Linked DNA regions of Saccharomyces cerevisiae S288C. Changing the gene in region 2 together with the main gene of any one other region gives a genetic interaction. Each region holds a gene or a part of one and is shown on either strand. Other genes may lie near its edges. The genes, in order: PHO86 and VPH2.

Region 1 (7,912 bases), on a different chromosome or scaffold from region 2:
AAGTCGGTTTTTGATCTGGGATGCTTGTTCTGCAGTTTTATTCCAAATACTCGATACCTTTGCGGATCCAGAGGAGGACCACCAGTTTGAAATAGAAGCAATTGGGTCATGCAATGGGGTCTCCTCCTCCTCCTCTTCTTCTTCTTCTTCTTCCTCCTCTTCTTCTTCTTTCTCCTGCTGCTGTGGTTCCTTTTCCTTTCCGTGAGCGTCCTGCTCGGAATTTTTGTTTTCTTTTGATTCTTCTACTTTTTCGTCTTGTGCTTTATTATTAACTGATTCACTGGGAGCCTTCTTTTCAACCCCTTTCTTGTCAGTTAAGCTTAAGTTACTCTTCTCCAACTCTTCTAAGAATTCAAAGATATCATCGTCACCTTTCTTTCCATCATTCCCGGTCTTGCCCGCCACAGAATTAGAACCTCCCTTAACGCCTTCTTGGCTACCCTTTACGTCAGTATTAACCATTTTCCCGCCATTCTTTGCTTCTGGCAAAGAATCTAAAAATTCAAATACGTCTTCAGCCTCAGAGTTCTTATTTTCAGACATTTTGCCCTGGTAGTATGTATGTTTTTAATCGATTGAGTCTAGTTAACCTGTCCCTTGTTCTATTCTTCACCGTCTCGTCCAACTTCCATCAAAGAACCAGAAACCAGAAAATCGCCGGTTTCTTCCACGCGTCAATCCGTTTGGAATGATCTCATCGCAAAATTTTTTTTCGCTAAAATTTTCATAGAGAGTATCAATATTAATATATGGTTATAACTTATGGCGGCATTAGTCGATGAGGTGCTTGCCGAAGAGACTAGCACAGCCAACCCATAATGCCTTCTAAAAACTCCATCAACAGACCTAAGCTGACTTCAAATTTGCACCACAAGGTGCACTCTTTAAATAAGAAAAGAGCTCAAAGAGAAAGAGCTGGTCTCTTGAAGCCAGCTAGATCCAGCGTAAATTCGAAATCTGGGGAAATAAAATCAGTAGCGTTGGACCTATACTTCCAAAACAAGAAGAACGAAAGTCAGAATTCCACTGCTGTGACATTACAAAATGCTTCATCTTCTCCGGCCTCCATCACCACGAGGACACTTTCCAAAAAGAGAGCTAAGAAAATCGAGAGAAACTTAAAATATGCTACACAGAGAAAATTATTGGTTGACGCAAGCGCTAAGCTAGAAGACGAAATGGATATTGATCTAGATGGCGGTAAGAAAGTGAAAGAGAATGAAAAGAAGAGTTCTTTGACTTTGGTTAAGGAAGCCTTATGGAGTGTCATTGACGATACTGCATCCCAGGGATTGATCATCGAAAACGGACAAGGCACCACCCTGGGCGGCCCATTTTTCCCATGAGTTAGGCACTTACGTATCTTGTATAGTAGGAATGGCTCGGTTTATGTATATTAGGAGATCAAAACGAGAAAAAAATACCATATCGTATAGTATAGAGAGTATAAATATAAGAAATGCCGCATATGTACAACTAATCTAGCAAATCTCTAGAACGCAATTCCTTCGAGACTTCTTCTTTCATGAAGGAGATAACATCGTGCGGGTCAGCTGCAGTGAAAACACTGGTACCAGCGACAATAACGTTGGCACCGGCTTTGGCGGCTTTCGGGATGGTCTCCTTGCCCAAACCACCATCGACTTGGATATTCAAATGGGGGAACTTGGCTCTCAAAGTTTCCACTTTTGGCATCATGTCTTCCATGAATTTTTGGCCTCCAAACCCAGGTTCCACAGTCATAACAAGAGCCATATCCAAATGAGGAGCTAGTTCAAATAAAACGTCAACAGAAGTACCAGGTTTGATGGCGCATGCAGCTTTGATGCCCTTAGACTTAATCAACTTAACTAAATGCAAAGGGTCTTGTGTGGCCTCGTAGTGGAACGTAAATTGGTCAGCACCACATTTAGCAAAATCGTCGACCCATTTTTCAGGATTTTCAACCATCATGTGACAATCGAAGAACGCAGTGGGCTTCTTTTCTGTGTTGCTAGCATCGCCAGGGCGTGGCACAGAACGACGTAGGGAGGTAACAATTGGTTGGCCCAGAGTAATGTTTGGAACAAAATGGCCGTCCATGACATCGATATGTAACCAATCTGCGCCGGCGTTGATGACCTTATGACATTCGCAACCCAAGTTGGCGAAGTCAGAAGCAAGGATACTGGGAGCTATAATTGGTTTGACCATTTTTTCTTGTGTGTTTACCTCGCTCTTGGAATTAGCAAATGGCCTTCTTGCATGAAATTGTATCGAGTTTGCTTTATTTTTCTTTTTACGGGCGGATTCTTTCTATTCTGGCTTTCCTATAACAGAGATCATGAAAGAAGTTCCAGCTTACGGATCAAGAAAGTACCTATACATATACAAAAATCTGATTACTTTCCCAGCTCGACTTGGATAGCTGTTCTTGTTTTCTCTTGGCGACACATTTTTTGTTTCTGAAGCCACGTCCTGCTTTATAAGAGGACATTTAAAGTTGCAGGACTTGAATGCAATTACCGGAAGAAGCAACCAACCGGCATGGTTCAGCATACAATACACATTTGATTAGAAAAGCAGAGAATAAATAGACATGATACCTCTCTTTTTATCCTCTGCAGCGTATTATTGTTTATTCCACGCAGGCATCGGTCGTTGGCTGTTGTTATGTCTCAGATAAGCGCGTTTGTTATGCGAAAAAAAAAAACTTTACAGAGGCTTTGTTTATATATAGAAAGACCACGAAAAAAACAGTGATGGCTTCATGCTTTTCAGTTTCATTATTGGCACGAGTAGCAGTCGTTGAGCCCATCAGAGTGCAACTTTGGTTAAATGTCGTAAATTGTATGATTGAATCATCCATGCACCAATGTCCTCCACGGGATCGCCACTTTTTTTCTTCATCACGCCCCATTTTGTTGATCCGACGTTCTGTATCAACTGTATACAGATTCGTTGCTTCTCGCACCACACAGGTTTTACGTGCGGCCAAGACCGTTGTCAAGTGGTTCATTATTGTCGACCCACTGATAAATTCTATTCTAATCAATTATCTCATTGATAGGCTCTGCACTCTTGGGCATGCTGTATTGCGAGTGAAAAAGCGCAAGACCGAGGAGAGACAACCCTGTTCTCCCATTATACAACACACACACGTTAAGAGACGCAAACGGCCTCGTCTGAGGATCGTAGCCATCAAGAGGAAGCGGAGGCGTCGAAGACCACATCGCATCGAGCGTCCACTCTCAAATATGTACCCAATAATGGAAATCCAGATGGTGGCTGTTCCACTTGCTCTTCCCAGTCCAACTGCACTGGTGCATTATCAGCAGCAGCAACAGCAGCTCCCGCAACATCATCCCTGGTACGACCTCTCGCTTTCTGAAGAAGCCCTCTCGACCTGCTGTTGTAGTTGACCTATAACTGAAAATTCACACCCGCATTACCCAGCGCGCCCGCACGTGCTCTTTATGGAAACTATAATGAATAACGACCAAAGAACATCTTTTTTTCTCTCTCACACAAATAAAGCTTTTCATGTTTATAGATATATAGCACATACTTTTACTAAGTTTTCTAGATTGATTACGACTCTTCCAGTTGCACATTTTTTCATAGCGAAAGTACAAGAGTAGGAAGAGTGGCACAATGGCGGTTCAACAAAGAAAGAAGAAAGAGGGTAGAAAGTCCGATAAAAATGCCCCATCGGTCCCACAAGTAGATGCATCATTAGACAAACCACTTGATATTGATGCTCCTCCTACTATTTACAGTGTTAATTTGAAACCAGAATATGGTACAGCTGCATTGAATTTGTCCGCGGATTTCATCAGACAAGAACAGGCATTGGCTAATAAGTATTTGTTCTTCCATCCCGTCATCCTTGTTGTTCTAACCATTGGGCTGCTTATTTACTTGACGCCAAGAATTGTCTTTCCGATAAGGAATACAGGATCCGTTGCTGGATGGTTCTACCAGCTGGCTCGTATTAATAAGAAGGTCGTCCTCAGCGGTTTAGTGTTCACCGCAATTGGTGCATCTTTCTTGTTCACCCTCCTCTCACGTGTATCTGACTCGTATTTCAAGTCGAAGATCAACCAACTTGTTGGTTCTAAAGGTGAGAAAGTTTTCGGCATCAATTTGAATGATTTGGTGGCAAGACATGAAACAAAGGATCCAGTGGTGAACAATACGCATATCATCGTTTATAGAGAAACGCCCATTGCATTGATTTCGTTAGCCCCTAACATGACATTAAGTACTGATGAAAATTTAGTCATGAGTGTTACTACTGTGGGTTGTCGTCGTGTATATGTAAAAAGTGGCATTATCGAAGATTTGATTGATTGGGCTATGCTACACTCCAAAAATATTAGAAGCAGCGGCAAATACGGGGAGACCATGAAACTCTTGATTGATGTCTACTCATTCGATAGCACGCTTAAGGAAATTTTGAAGAAAAAAGGGTTCACTTATATTCAAAGCATTAGAGTCTCTGAAAATCGACTACTAGGCGGTTTGTTCGGTGTGAAGAAGGAATTATGGGGTTTGCAATTCCATTTTAAAGCCGAACACAAGGACTAGGATACTGTTATTTTTATAGCCAAAAAATGAAAAAAAACAGCATGGCATCTTGTTAGTTCTGTTGCAACTCGCAGGAAGTAACAAAATAAACACTATAATATTTCCATATATTTATATATATGTATACAAACACCTTGTTAACAAAAAAAAAATAAACGAACTAAAGAAAACCGTAATGCAGAGTACACCTTGAAGAGAGAGAAAAGAAAATCTTTGAATCCATAGCATAATAGCGATCAACGAAACTTTTTAAGAAGTAAAATGAACTGAAAGGAGAAAAATATAACGGAATCCCAATGTATAATAATAAATAGAGAGCGGAAGAAAAAGAATAATAAGGGGAATTGAGGGTATCAAAATACAAGACATTCTTTTACCGAAAAGAAGAATGACTTAATAGAAAACAAATTCAGCAGATCCAGATAAAACAGAAACTGTGCAACCATCGGAACCATCTCCGGTGAAAGAGCCATCTTCATACGCACAGCTGCCCTGAACGTTAGCGCCATCGGATGCAACTATTTTAACGTTAAAGTTGGCAGCTTGGTTACTGTTGGGGTTTGGAATCAACGACAAGTATGTTTCTCCATTAGTGGAACCAGCACCTAACACTAGTGGAGCCCAGTTGCCGACATCCGAACCAGAAGTACCCCAAATGCACCCATCTTCTGCAGATACACCGGCGTTGTTAATATAGTACTGAGCAGAAGTCTTTTTACCCTGCCATTGATAATAAGTGTCTTCATCAACGACTGAAATTGGTTGTGAATCTCCACCATCAACCACTGTGGGAATCACCATGTTTTCTGATCCTGGGTAATCCGTCCTACATAGAGCAATGGAGTCAGACTTTTTGTTAATGGCCTTAGCAGATGTTTCATCCGTAGAACATAAATCGCTGGTATCAGTGTTGGTACGGTACAAGTAACCATTTTTACAGTAAAGACCACCAACAGATTTACCATCGCTTGGTTGGTCAGAAGGCCATTGAGTCTTTGACATTCCAGGTTCACATGCATAAGAACAGTAGTAGCCATCCTTACATTCGGACGAAGTGTTGGCATCCATGTCCATGACAGAGGCCCATCCACCAAATCCTAGCCAGTCCAAGGAAACTATACCGTTTACAGAAGGGAAGTCCGAACATTTGACAGTACCATCTTGGAATCCGCCATCACGCTTCTGTTCAGAGGTATCCTTCTCAGATGAGGACAATGTAGTGGTAGTAGCAGCAGATTCTACAGTACTAGTAGCGGCATTGGAATCTATGTATTGAGTGACAGTGACAACCGCTGGTTTTTCATCTTTGTGATGATCTTCATGGTGACTGTCCGCTGGAGCAGGTGCAGGGGCAGAAAATGCGACAGAAGAAAGGGAAGACAATATTAAAGCTGCGGAAATTTTCATTATGTGTTAGAGAGAGACGAGTTAAGTATGTGCGACTATACTAGTATTATAATATTAAAGGAAAGTAAGGTACCGTCTATGAGGAGACTGTTAGTTGGATATCAGTAATGAGACGAAAAAGCTCGAAATGAATGGATATATTCTTTTTGCTACTGGCAACTGTTGAATATTTAATGTTAAAACAAACTAACTGAGGTATATTCGTATCTGTATGTACACATATACTATATACAGGAAAAGATAAGCAAGAGAGAGGATATCAACTACGAGAGCGATCGATTATATATCAAAAGCTGTCCGCTTTGCCACCCATAATCGGCGCTTAGTTTCGGAGTTCAATCATAATTCTACCACCTTACACTCAACTTACTCTTTAACTCCTATAGTATAATATCGCCACTGACCCCATATTAAAAAAATTTTTTTGCTCGATCTTCTATCCTCTTTAGGTTAATTGTCGCTGTTATTGTCTAGATTTTTTCTCGGAGATGGCGCATCTATTTGCCGTCAAAAGATCCTCTCATACCATATTAAGTAAATTGCCTCCATTTCTTTTTCCTCGGGCAGAGAAACTCGCAGGCAACTTGCTCTCGAAGTGGTCACGTGCGGGTCTAGGCCTGCATAATCGGCCCTCACAGAGGGATCCCGTTACCCATCTATGCTGAAGATTTATCATACTATTCCTCCGCTCGTTTCTTTTTTCAGTGAGGTGTGTCGTGAAAGAAAACCCACAATTAAACTTTCAACAACCGGGCGACTAGGAAGAGAGTAGTGGGCGCGGATGACGAAGGCTAAGGTCACTTCTTCGTTTCCTTTATTGGGGTTTCCGTGTAGCCTTCCCCTGAATAGTGTGGGACGTTTTATGAGAAGCCGTAAGAAATAGGCAAATTGAGTTATGACAAGTAGACATGATGCCGCAGCCTTGCCTGACTTTACGTCTCCTTCATGAATAAGTTTTTCTATCGAGTTCTTTTCCTTTTTTCGCCTTAATTAGCTCAATTAAGCCTGTCCTCACTACTTTTCTTTTTCTTATCGGCTTTGTGCCACACCTAACCTTCGAATGCTGTTTTATTCCGTTCTTACATGGGATGGTAATGCCTTGGCGAGAATTTCGATTTTCAGGATATTGTCTTGGTGGCGTCTTTTGCTGTTACTATGTGTTTAAGAGAGAGCTGTTCTACAAAGAACTTTTCATTTACGCGTTTTTTCCTTTTTTTTTTTTTCTCATCCTAAACGCGTAAATCTGTTCCCTTTTTCATGTAATGGGCGTACAACCGACGATGGAAAAATGAATCTTGCAATTTTAATACTAACACTTGGAATAACTCCAAACAGGTAAGAGGCTCACAGAATCTCGAAAGTGTAACAGCGTACTCTCCCTACCATCCAATTGAAACATAAGATATAGAAAAGATGTCAATTGTTTCACTGTTAGGCATCAAAGTCTTAAACAACCCGGCAAAGTTCACTGATCCATATGAGTTTGAAATCACTTTTGAATGCTTAGAATCTTTAAAACATGACTTAGAGTGGAAACTAACCTATGTTGGGTCCTCTCGTTCTCTAGACCATGACCAGGAATTGGATTCCATTCTGGTAGGCCCCGTTCCCGTAGGTGTTAATAAATTTGTGTTTTCTGCTGACCCTCCCTCCGCCGAGCTGATTCCTGCGAGTGAATTGGTTAGTGTGACTGTTATTCTATTAAGTTGTTCTTATGACGGGAGAGAGTTTGTTAGGGTCGGTTACTACGTGAATAATGAGTACGATGAAGAAGAGTTAAGAGAAAATCCGCCAGCAAAGGTACAAGTAGATCATATTGTAAGAAATATACTGGCTGAAAAGCCAAGGGTAACAAGGTTTAACATTGTTTGGGATAATGAAAATGAAGGGGATTTATACCCACCTGAACAGCCCGGCGTAGATGATGAAGAGGAGG
Region 2 (7,715 bases):
TGATGTGTTTAGGGTTTTTATGGAGCACGCTTTAGATATTTTGGATGCAAACTGGTCCAAAAATGGATTTCTAATAACAGCATCAATGGACAAAACTGCAAAACTATGGCACCCTGAGAGGAAATACTCATTGAAAACTTTTGTTCACCCAGATTTTGTTACATCCGCAATATTTTTTCCCAATGATGATCGTTTCATAATTACCGGATGCTTAGATCACAGGTGTAGACTGTGGTCTATACTGGACAATGAGGTTTCTTATGCCTTTGATTGCAAAGATTTGATAACATCCCTAACATTATCTCCTCCTGGTGGGGAATATACAATTATCGGTACATTCAATGGATACATTTATGTTTTACTGACACATGGATTAAAATTTGTATCTTCATTCCATGTATCTGATAAAAGCACTCAAGGAACCACTAAGAATAGCTTTCATCCATCTTCCGAATATGGAAAGGTCCAACACGGCCCTCGAATCACGGGTTTACAATGCTTCTTTTCTAAGGTGGACAAAAATTTAAGATTGATAGTTACGACAAATGATTCAAAAATTCAAATCTTTGATTTAAATGAAAAAAAACCTTTAGAGCTTTTTAAAGGATTCCAAAGTGGTTCCTCACGTCATAGAGGCCAATTCCTAATGATGAAAAATGAACCTGTAGTTTTCACGGGAAGTGATGATCATTGGTTTTATACCTGGAAAATGCAGTCCTTTAATCTTTCAGCAGAAATGAATTGCACTGCTCCGCATAGAAAGAAACGGCTGAGCGGCAGTATGAGTTTAAAAGGGCTGTTGAGAATTGTATCTAATAAGAGTACGAATGATGAATGTTTGACAGAAACGTCAAACCAAAGCAGCTCACACACATTTACCAACTCATCAAAAAATGTTCTTCAAACTCAAACTGTTGGTTCTCAAGCTATCAAAAACAATCATTATATATCATTTCATGCCCATAACTCCCCTGTCACATGTGCTTCCATTGCTCCCGACGTTGCAATTAAAAATTTGTCCTTGTCAAACGATTTGATTTTCGAACTGACTTCACAGTACTTCAAAGAAATGGGCCAAAATTATTCAGAATCTAAGGAAACATGTGATAACAAACCTAATCACCCAGTTACAGAAACAGGAGGATTCAGCTCAAACCTATCGAACGTTGTGAATAATGTTGGAACCATTCTAATAACAACAGACAGTCAAGGTCTAATCCGTGTTTTCAGAACTGATATCTTACCGGAAATACGAAAAAAAATAATAGAAAAGTTCCATGAATACAATTTATTCCACCTCGAAGCTGCTGGTAAAATCAACAACCACAACAATGACAGCATATTGGAAAATAGAATGGATGAAAGAAGTTCCACAGAGGATAATGAGTTTAGCACAACCCCACCATCTAACACGCACAATAGTAGGCCAAGCCACGATTTTTGTGAGCTGCATCCTAATAATAGCCCGGTGATTTCCGGCATGCCATCAAGAGCTAGTGCTATTTTCAAGAATTCGATCTTTAATAAATCCAATGGAAGTTTTATATCCCTAAAGTCAAGAAGTGAAAGTACGAGCTCCACGGTGTTTGGACCGCATGATATTCCGAGAGTTTCTACCACTTATCCGAAGTTGAAATGTGACGTCTGCAATGGATCTAATTTTGAATGTGCTTCCAAAAACCCCATTGCTGGCGGTGATAGCGGTTTCACGTGTGCTGATTGTGGTACAATCCTCAATAATTTCAGATAGAGAATCAGAAAGTAAGAGGAAAAACTATCTGTTCCACCGTCTTTAGATCATAAGCATGTCTGCAAATAACATAGTATTATTATTTATATCTGTAGCGATCTTTATTATTTTTCATTACTGACACATTTTCTCACAGAACCATCTACAACCCGAAAGATGCCGGAAACGGTCTTAGGCCGATGGGGTCTATTAGGGCCTACAGAGACGTCAATTGGGCTATAAGAAAAATGAAATCGAGGAAAGATTTTCCACTCTCAAATTAAGTAGGGCAAAAATATGCTTTTGTTCGCATGTGGTGTTATTCCAGTTGCGAGTCAGGGTCTGCCGATATGCTAAAGGAGGTCACGAAAACGAATCTGGCATTTAATACCTCATTAAGTTACAGCGGAATCGGCCTTCTGTTGCGGAAAAAAAAAAAAAAAAGAAAACGAACATTAAGCACCGCTGAAATTTCAAGCTGTGACTAAGTCGTCAAATGATAAATACTGCATATATATAAACTATGTGATTATATGCAACATTAAGATATACTTTCTTCTTCCATAATGCCCCCACTCCAGAACTCCATCCGAAATAGTTTTCCTTAGATTGCTATAGCAAGTCAGACACAAGCACATCTCATCGAATTATATCGTAAGCAAATATGTCATCTGACAACTCTAAACAAGATAAACAAATTGAAAAAACAGCCGCCCAGAAGATATCGAAGTTTGGTTCGTTTGTGGCTGGTGGGCTAGCAGCATGTATAGCTGTTACAGTTACTAATCCGATCGAATTGATTAAAATCAGAATGCAGCTTCAAGGTGAAATGTCAGCATCAGCTGCAAAAGTTTATAAAAATCCAATCCAAGGTATGGCGGTAATTTTCAAAAACGAAGGTATAAAAGGTCTGCAAAAAGGGTTAAATGCTGCTTATATCTATCAAATTGGGCTAAATGGTTCCAGATTAGGGTTTTATGAGCCAATCAGATCATCATTAAATCAGCTTTTCTTCCCAGATCAAGAGCCACATAAGGTACAGAGCGTCGGAGTTAACGTCTTTTCTGGTGCCGCATCTGGTATAATTGGTGCAGTCATTGGCTCTCCATTATTCTTGGTGAAAACAAGACTTCAATCATATTCCGAGTTTATAAAAATTGGTGAACAAACGCACTACACCGGTGTTTGGAACGGGTTAGTAACCATTTTTAAAACCGAAGGTGTTAAGGGTCTATTCAGAGGTATTGATGCGGCAATTTTAAGGACAGGTGCTGGTTCCTCTGTTCAACTACCTATCTACAACACAGCAAAGAACATTTTGGTCAAAAATGATCTGATGAAAGATGGCCCAGCATTACATTTAACTGCTAGTACTATCTCTGGGTTAGGTGTTGCCGTCGTTATGAACCCATGGGATGTCATTTTGACAAGAATCTATAATCAAAAAGGTGACTTGTACAAGGGACCTATAGATTGTTTGGTCAAAACTGTTAGAATCGAAGGTGTAACCGCTTTGTATAAGGGTTTTGCAGCTCAAGTGTTCAGAATCGCACCTCATACAATCATGTGTTTGACCTTCATGGAACAGACAATGAAACTAGTTTATTCGATAGAGTCGAGAGTTTTAGGCCATAATTAATTCCCATAACAAACTCCGAGGTTTGAAGTTTCATTCATTGGCCAGGACAGTTCTACTTTACTAATGGTTTCATTACAACCTTTTTCTTCATATTATGTAGCATTAAGGATAATAGAGCATTTTTTATTTCACATTCATACACGATAGTTTTATAAACGTAATTATAAACATACAGAACATTATTCACAATTGTCCAGTTCCAAGAATTATATGCTCTCGGATCTCGGAGTTCTTATTTATAAAATGATCAGTTACAGTGTAATCTTGCTTAGAACTTTCTTTTTCTCAACCTTTGTTTTTTCTTTTACTTTTGCTTCTTCGAGTTTTTTCAGATAGCTGTTATACACAACCACATCTGCTACTAAGACCAATATTCCAAAGAACAAGCACAACAAAAGACGAACATGGACCGGAAAGTTTGTTGAAGATCCGGTCCAGTACCAAATGGCCACAACAACCGATATGACACTTACAAGAACGTTGAAAACAGTGGTAACTTGTTCCTTAATCTGTTTATTAATTTGTGAAGGCGTGAGTTCATCGTCTTCTTGAAGTGAAAAGACAGACTTGCTTCTCTTGACCATACTTTGATATTCAAGTTCTTGTTCCTGATATTTCAAAAACTCTAATTTTTTCTTGAAATCCTCTGAATAGTGTAAACCTCTGACGGCCTTGGGCTTGAATTCGAACTCCAAAGGTTTCAAAAGTTCTTTGATAGAGCATTGGAGATCACTGTCTTTTCTATACTCTTTCACATAAAAAAGAAGTGACTGCATAGGTATTGCGTGTCGCTTCAGGAACAAATCAATGTCCTCATCAATTCCTTCGTTTGATTTCGCGCTATTCTTGAACTTTCGCAGAAATTCAGTTATTCTATCATTCAGTTTAATTTCGAACATTAGAGTTCTTTTATGTGATGCCAATCGTCAATTATCCTATCTTACCTTTTCTTCATTTCTTTCAGCGTTTTCATGTGAGATTTGCTTTATTTTCGCTTCCTCGTTTCTCATTTTAAATATTCACACGTCCGTCATGTCTACTTTGAGTCAGTTAAATACACAAGATTTTTGTAAAACTGAGTATTTCGTGAACAATATAATTGTTCGGATTCAATCATAGTTAAAGACTATAGTATGAGATACACAGAATATCCTAAAAGTTCCCCTCGAGGGTATAGGAAACCTCAAAATGGAATCGGTCTTTCTACATGATAATATTACTCTAACTTCTTTTCTTCTATACTTTGCCATTCATTACCCTATCACGTTATCAATCCTTGCATTTCAGCTTCCATTAAGACCGATAACTGTTTCCCAATCTCTATGTCATCATCTTACACCGCTGTGATAATATTCTAGGAAGACGAATACTAGCCAATAGATGATACAAGGATTTCATTTCGACAGAAACAAAAAAAGCATGGAAAAACGAATGGAGACAAAGAGGAAGTTAAAGAAAGTTCATTTGTGACCTCATTTACTCAGAAGAATTTCGTAAATCGGTTGTTATAGAACTGTTTTATTGTTTAAAAGAGCTTGTTATAGTAATCTAAGTGGAAATACACTAACAGTAAATAGGGCGTGTGGCGTAGTCGGTAGCGCGCTCCCTTAGCATGGGAGAGGTCTCCGGTTCGATTCCGGACTCGTCCAATCTTTTTATACTTATTAATAATTTTTTTCCTGCCGTTACTTGCTTTTAAAATAACTGCCTTTTATGAATACAGAGTATAATTTTTGATATACAAAGAGGTTGACTGTGATAATCAATACTTAATTTGTGGTTATTGGTACACATATACCTACAAAAGTTACCAACAAACTGTTCGACTTTTAATGCTACCCGCCTTCCGAGTGTTTTTGAAGGGGCGGAGAGGAGCGGCAAGAATTAGCATGGAAAAAAGCATAAAAAGACGAAATGGGTGGCAATGTATTAACTTGTTCGAGAAACCTAGTGGACTCAATTCATTACAACAACAAGTTCCCAAGATCATCGATTCATAATAGTCATGTCCGATAAAGTTATTAACCCTCAAGTTGCATGGGCTCAAAGGTCTAGTACTACTGATCCAGAAAGAAATTATGTCTTAATAACTGTGTCAATTGCAGACTGTGATGCCCCTGAGTTAACCATTAAGCCATCATACATCGAATTAAAGGCTCAATCAAAGCCTCATGTTGGCGATGAAAATGTCCATCATTATCAATTACACATTGATCTATACAAGGAAATTATACCTGAAAAAACAATGCATAAGGTTGCTAATGGCCAGCACTACTTTTTGAAATTGTATAAAAAGGATTTAGAATCTGAATACTGGCCACGTTTGACAAAGGAAAAGGTGAAGTACCCTTACATCAAAACTGATTTCGATAAATGGGTTGATGAAGATGAACAAGACGAAGTTGAAGCTGAAGGTAATGATGCCGCTCAAGGAATGGATTTCAGCCAAATGATGGGAGGTGCTGGAGGTGCTGGAGGTGCTGGAGGCATGGACTTCAGCCAAATGATGGGAGGTGCTGGTGGCGCTGGTTCTCCAGATATGGCTCAATTGCAGCAATTATTGGCTCAAAGCGGTGGTAATTTGGACATGGGAGATTTCAAAGAAAACGATGAAGAAGATGAAGAAGAGGAAATAGAGCCGGAAGTGAAAGCTTAAAAGGAGGAGCAAATCAACCTGGAGTGCTAGAATGAGTAACTTAGAATAAAAGACGAATATATGCACTTTACACAACTCTTTACCTGTTTGTTATTGGCTGCCTCTATGTAATTAAATATTATGGAATTAATAAAAATATTTTTATTCGTAACTATCTTAGATATATATTGTACATTGTCAAAAAGACAGTAGTAAGCAGATAGAAGCTATATTGGATGCAAAATAGAGAAAAAAGCAGAAATATTATGTTGCAAATGTCAAGTAATGGAACTGTATGTGATATTTAAAGAACAATTTCTATATGCTGGATGATTATCAGGTGTAAGCAATAAGAAAGAAAACGAAAGTAACTCCCATCCGTGGGAAATTTCAAGAAAAACTTAGAGTATCAGCGATCGTTTTAACGAAGGGGGATTCGTAAATTTCATTAATCGACCAACGTTGGTTCTTCCTCGTTAGCGTATTTTCCACAATCTGTTTTCCCACATTAGTTTTATAATCGCTTAACCGGTACCATCTCCAATCAAACCTGGCAATACGATGTGACGTAGCTCTGCTACGCTGTCTTGCTGAAGCGTTTGGAGGAGGGTCAAATGGTAATCTGTCCTCAAACAAGCTGTATAGTATGACACCTAAGGCCCACGTGTCGCTTAAATGGCCATCGTAGGGAACTCCCATCAGGATTTCTGGTGAGACATAATCCTCTGATCCACATCTTGCTGTACACATCTCATTGTTCTCAATTTTTTTGCAGAGACCAAAATCTGCTAGCTCAATGAAATTTTGCTTGCAGTAAATGGGTGAGTCCCTAAAACTGTTGATATCATCAAAACTATATTTCAGTAGTATATTCTCTAATTTTAGGTCCCGATGAATAATACTGTTTTCGTGCAAATATTTTACTGCCAGTACTACTTCCGTAAAAATCCTTTGAATCAGCCACGCTTCTAGTCTTCCGTTACGGGCCATGACGGCAGCTAATAAGTCTCCTGCAGGACAATAAGACATAATCATATCACAAGGCGGCAGAGCTCTTGGAGTTTTTATAATCAAATCGCATAAAGGTTTTTTGCTAGTAACAAAAATTGGATTGTTTATCCCAAGTAGTTTAACTATACATGGGTGATTTAGTGATTTTAGCACCTGCAATTCCCTAGTCAGAGAATTTTCCAAACGGGATAAAGTTTCCTTATATCGTAACGATGTATTGATTTGTTCAACATTTGATAATTCCTCGGGATATTTGAGTCGTTTAACGGCCACTTGTTTCAGTTTAGGATTGCTTTGGTCCATGAGTTCATATAAAAGTACGGTACTAAAATTTCCTGAACCAATGGGCCTGACCTTTTTCCATAATAACGGGCGATCCCAGTGATCTAAAAGAAATCCCTGAAATATATCATCGTCACACTTTTCGGTAGAACTACTACTTTCGGGAAAATAAGGTTCTTTCGTGTAGTTATCACTATCAACAGAATCATTTACTAAAGCCTCTTCAGTCACTGTTGGTAAGGAAACAACCCTTTGGGGGGATAAATTAGCTGGTGCAATAAGTTCAGAAACAACTCTTTGGTTTGGTTGTGTAACAGAAAGCATATCATCCAGTAATCGTGCATGACTTCGTCTTTTGGGTATATTCAACGAGGATTGATCTATAGGTGACATTGACAGATTGCCTGGGGATAACGGAG

The links.
Region 1: mutations in VPH2 (region 2) and PHO86 together harm fitness more than expected from each alone (negative genetic interaction), as found in Saccharomyces cerevisiae (2 studies listed by BioGRID).

What each region holds. Positions count from the first base shown.
Region 1 is NC_001142.9:188,898-196,809, forward strand, and holds PHO86 (Pho86p), read left to right. Parts: upstream 1-3,633; coding exon 3,634-4,569; downstream 4,570-7,912. Other genes in the region: DUF5427 domain-containing protein MTC1, read right to left, coding at 1-543; ALB1 (Alb1p), read left to right, coding at 819-1,346; ribulose-phosphate 3-epimerase RPE1, read right to left, coding at 1,477-2,193; YJL118W (uncharacterized protein), read left to right, coding at 2,742-3,401; SUN family protein NCA3, read right to left, coding at 4,963-5,976; nucleosome assembly factor ASF1, read left to right, coding at 7,390-7,912.
Region 2 is NC_001143.9:214,951-222,665, forward strand, and holds VPH2 (Vph2p), read right to left. Parts: upstream 4,268-7,715; coding exon 3,620-4,267; downstream 1-3,619. Other genes in the region: DGR2 (Dgr2p), read left to right, coding at 1-1,750; OAC1 (Oac1p), read left to right, coding at 2,394-3,368; Hsp90 cochaperone SBA1, read left to right, coding at 5,374-6,024; serine/threonine protein kinase PRR1, read right to left, coding at 6,394-7,715. UniProt on the Saccharomyces cerevisiae protein: Required for vacuolar ATPase assembly.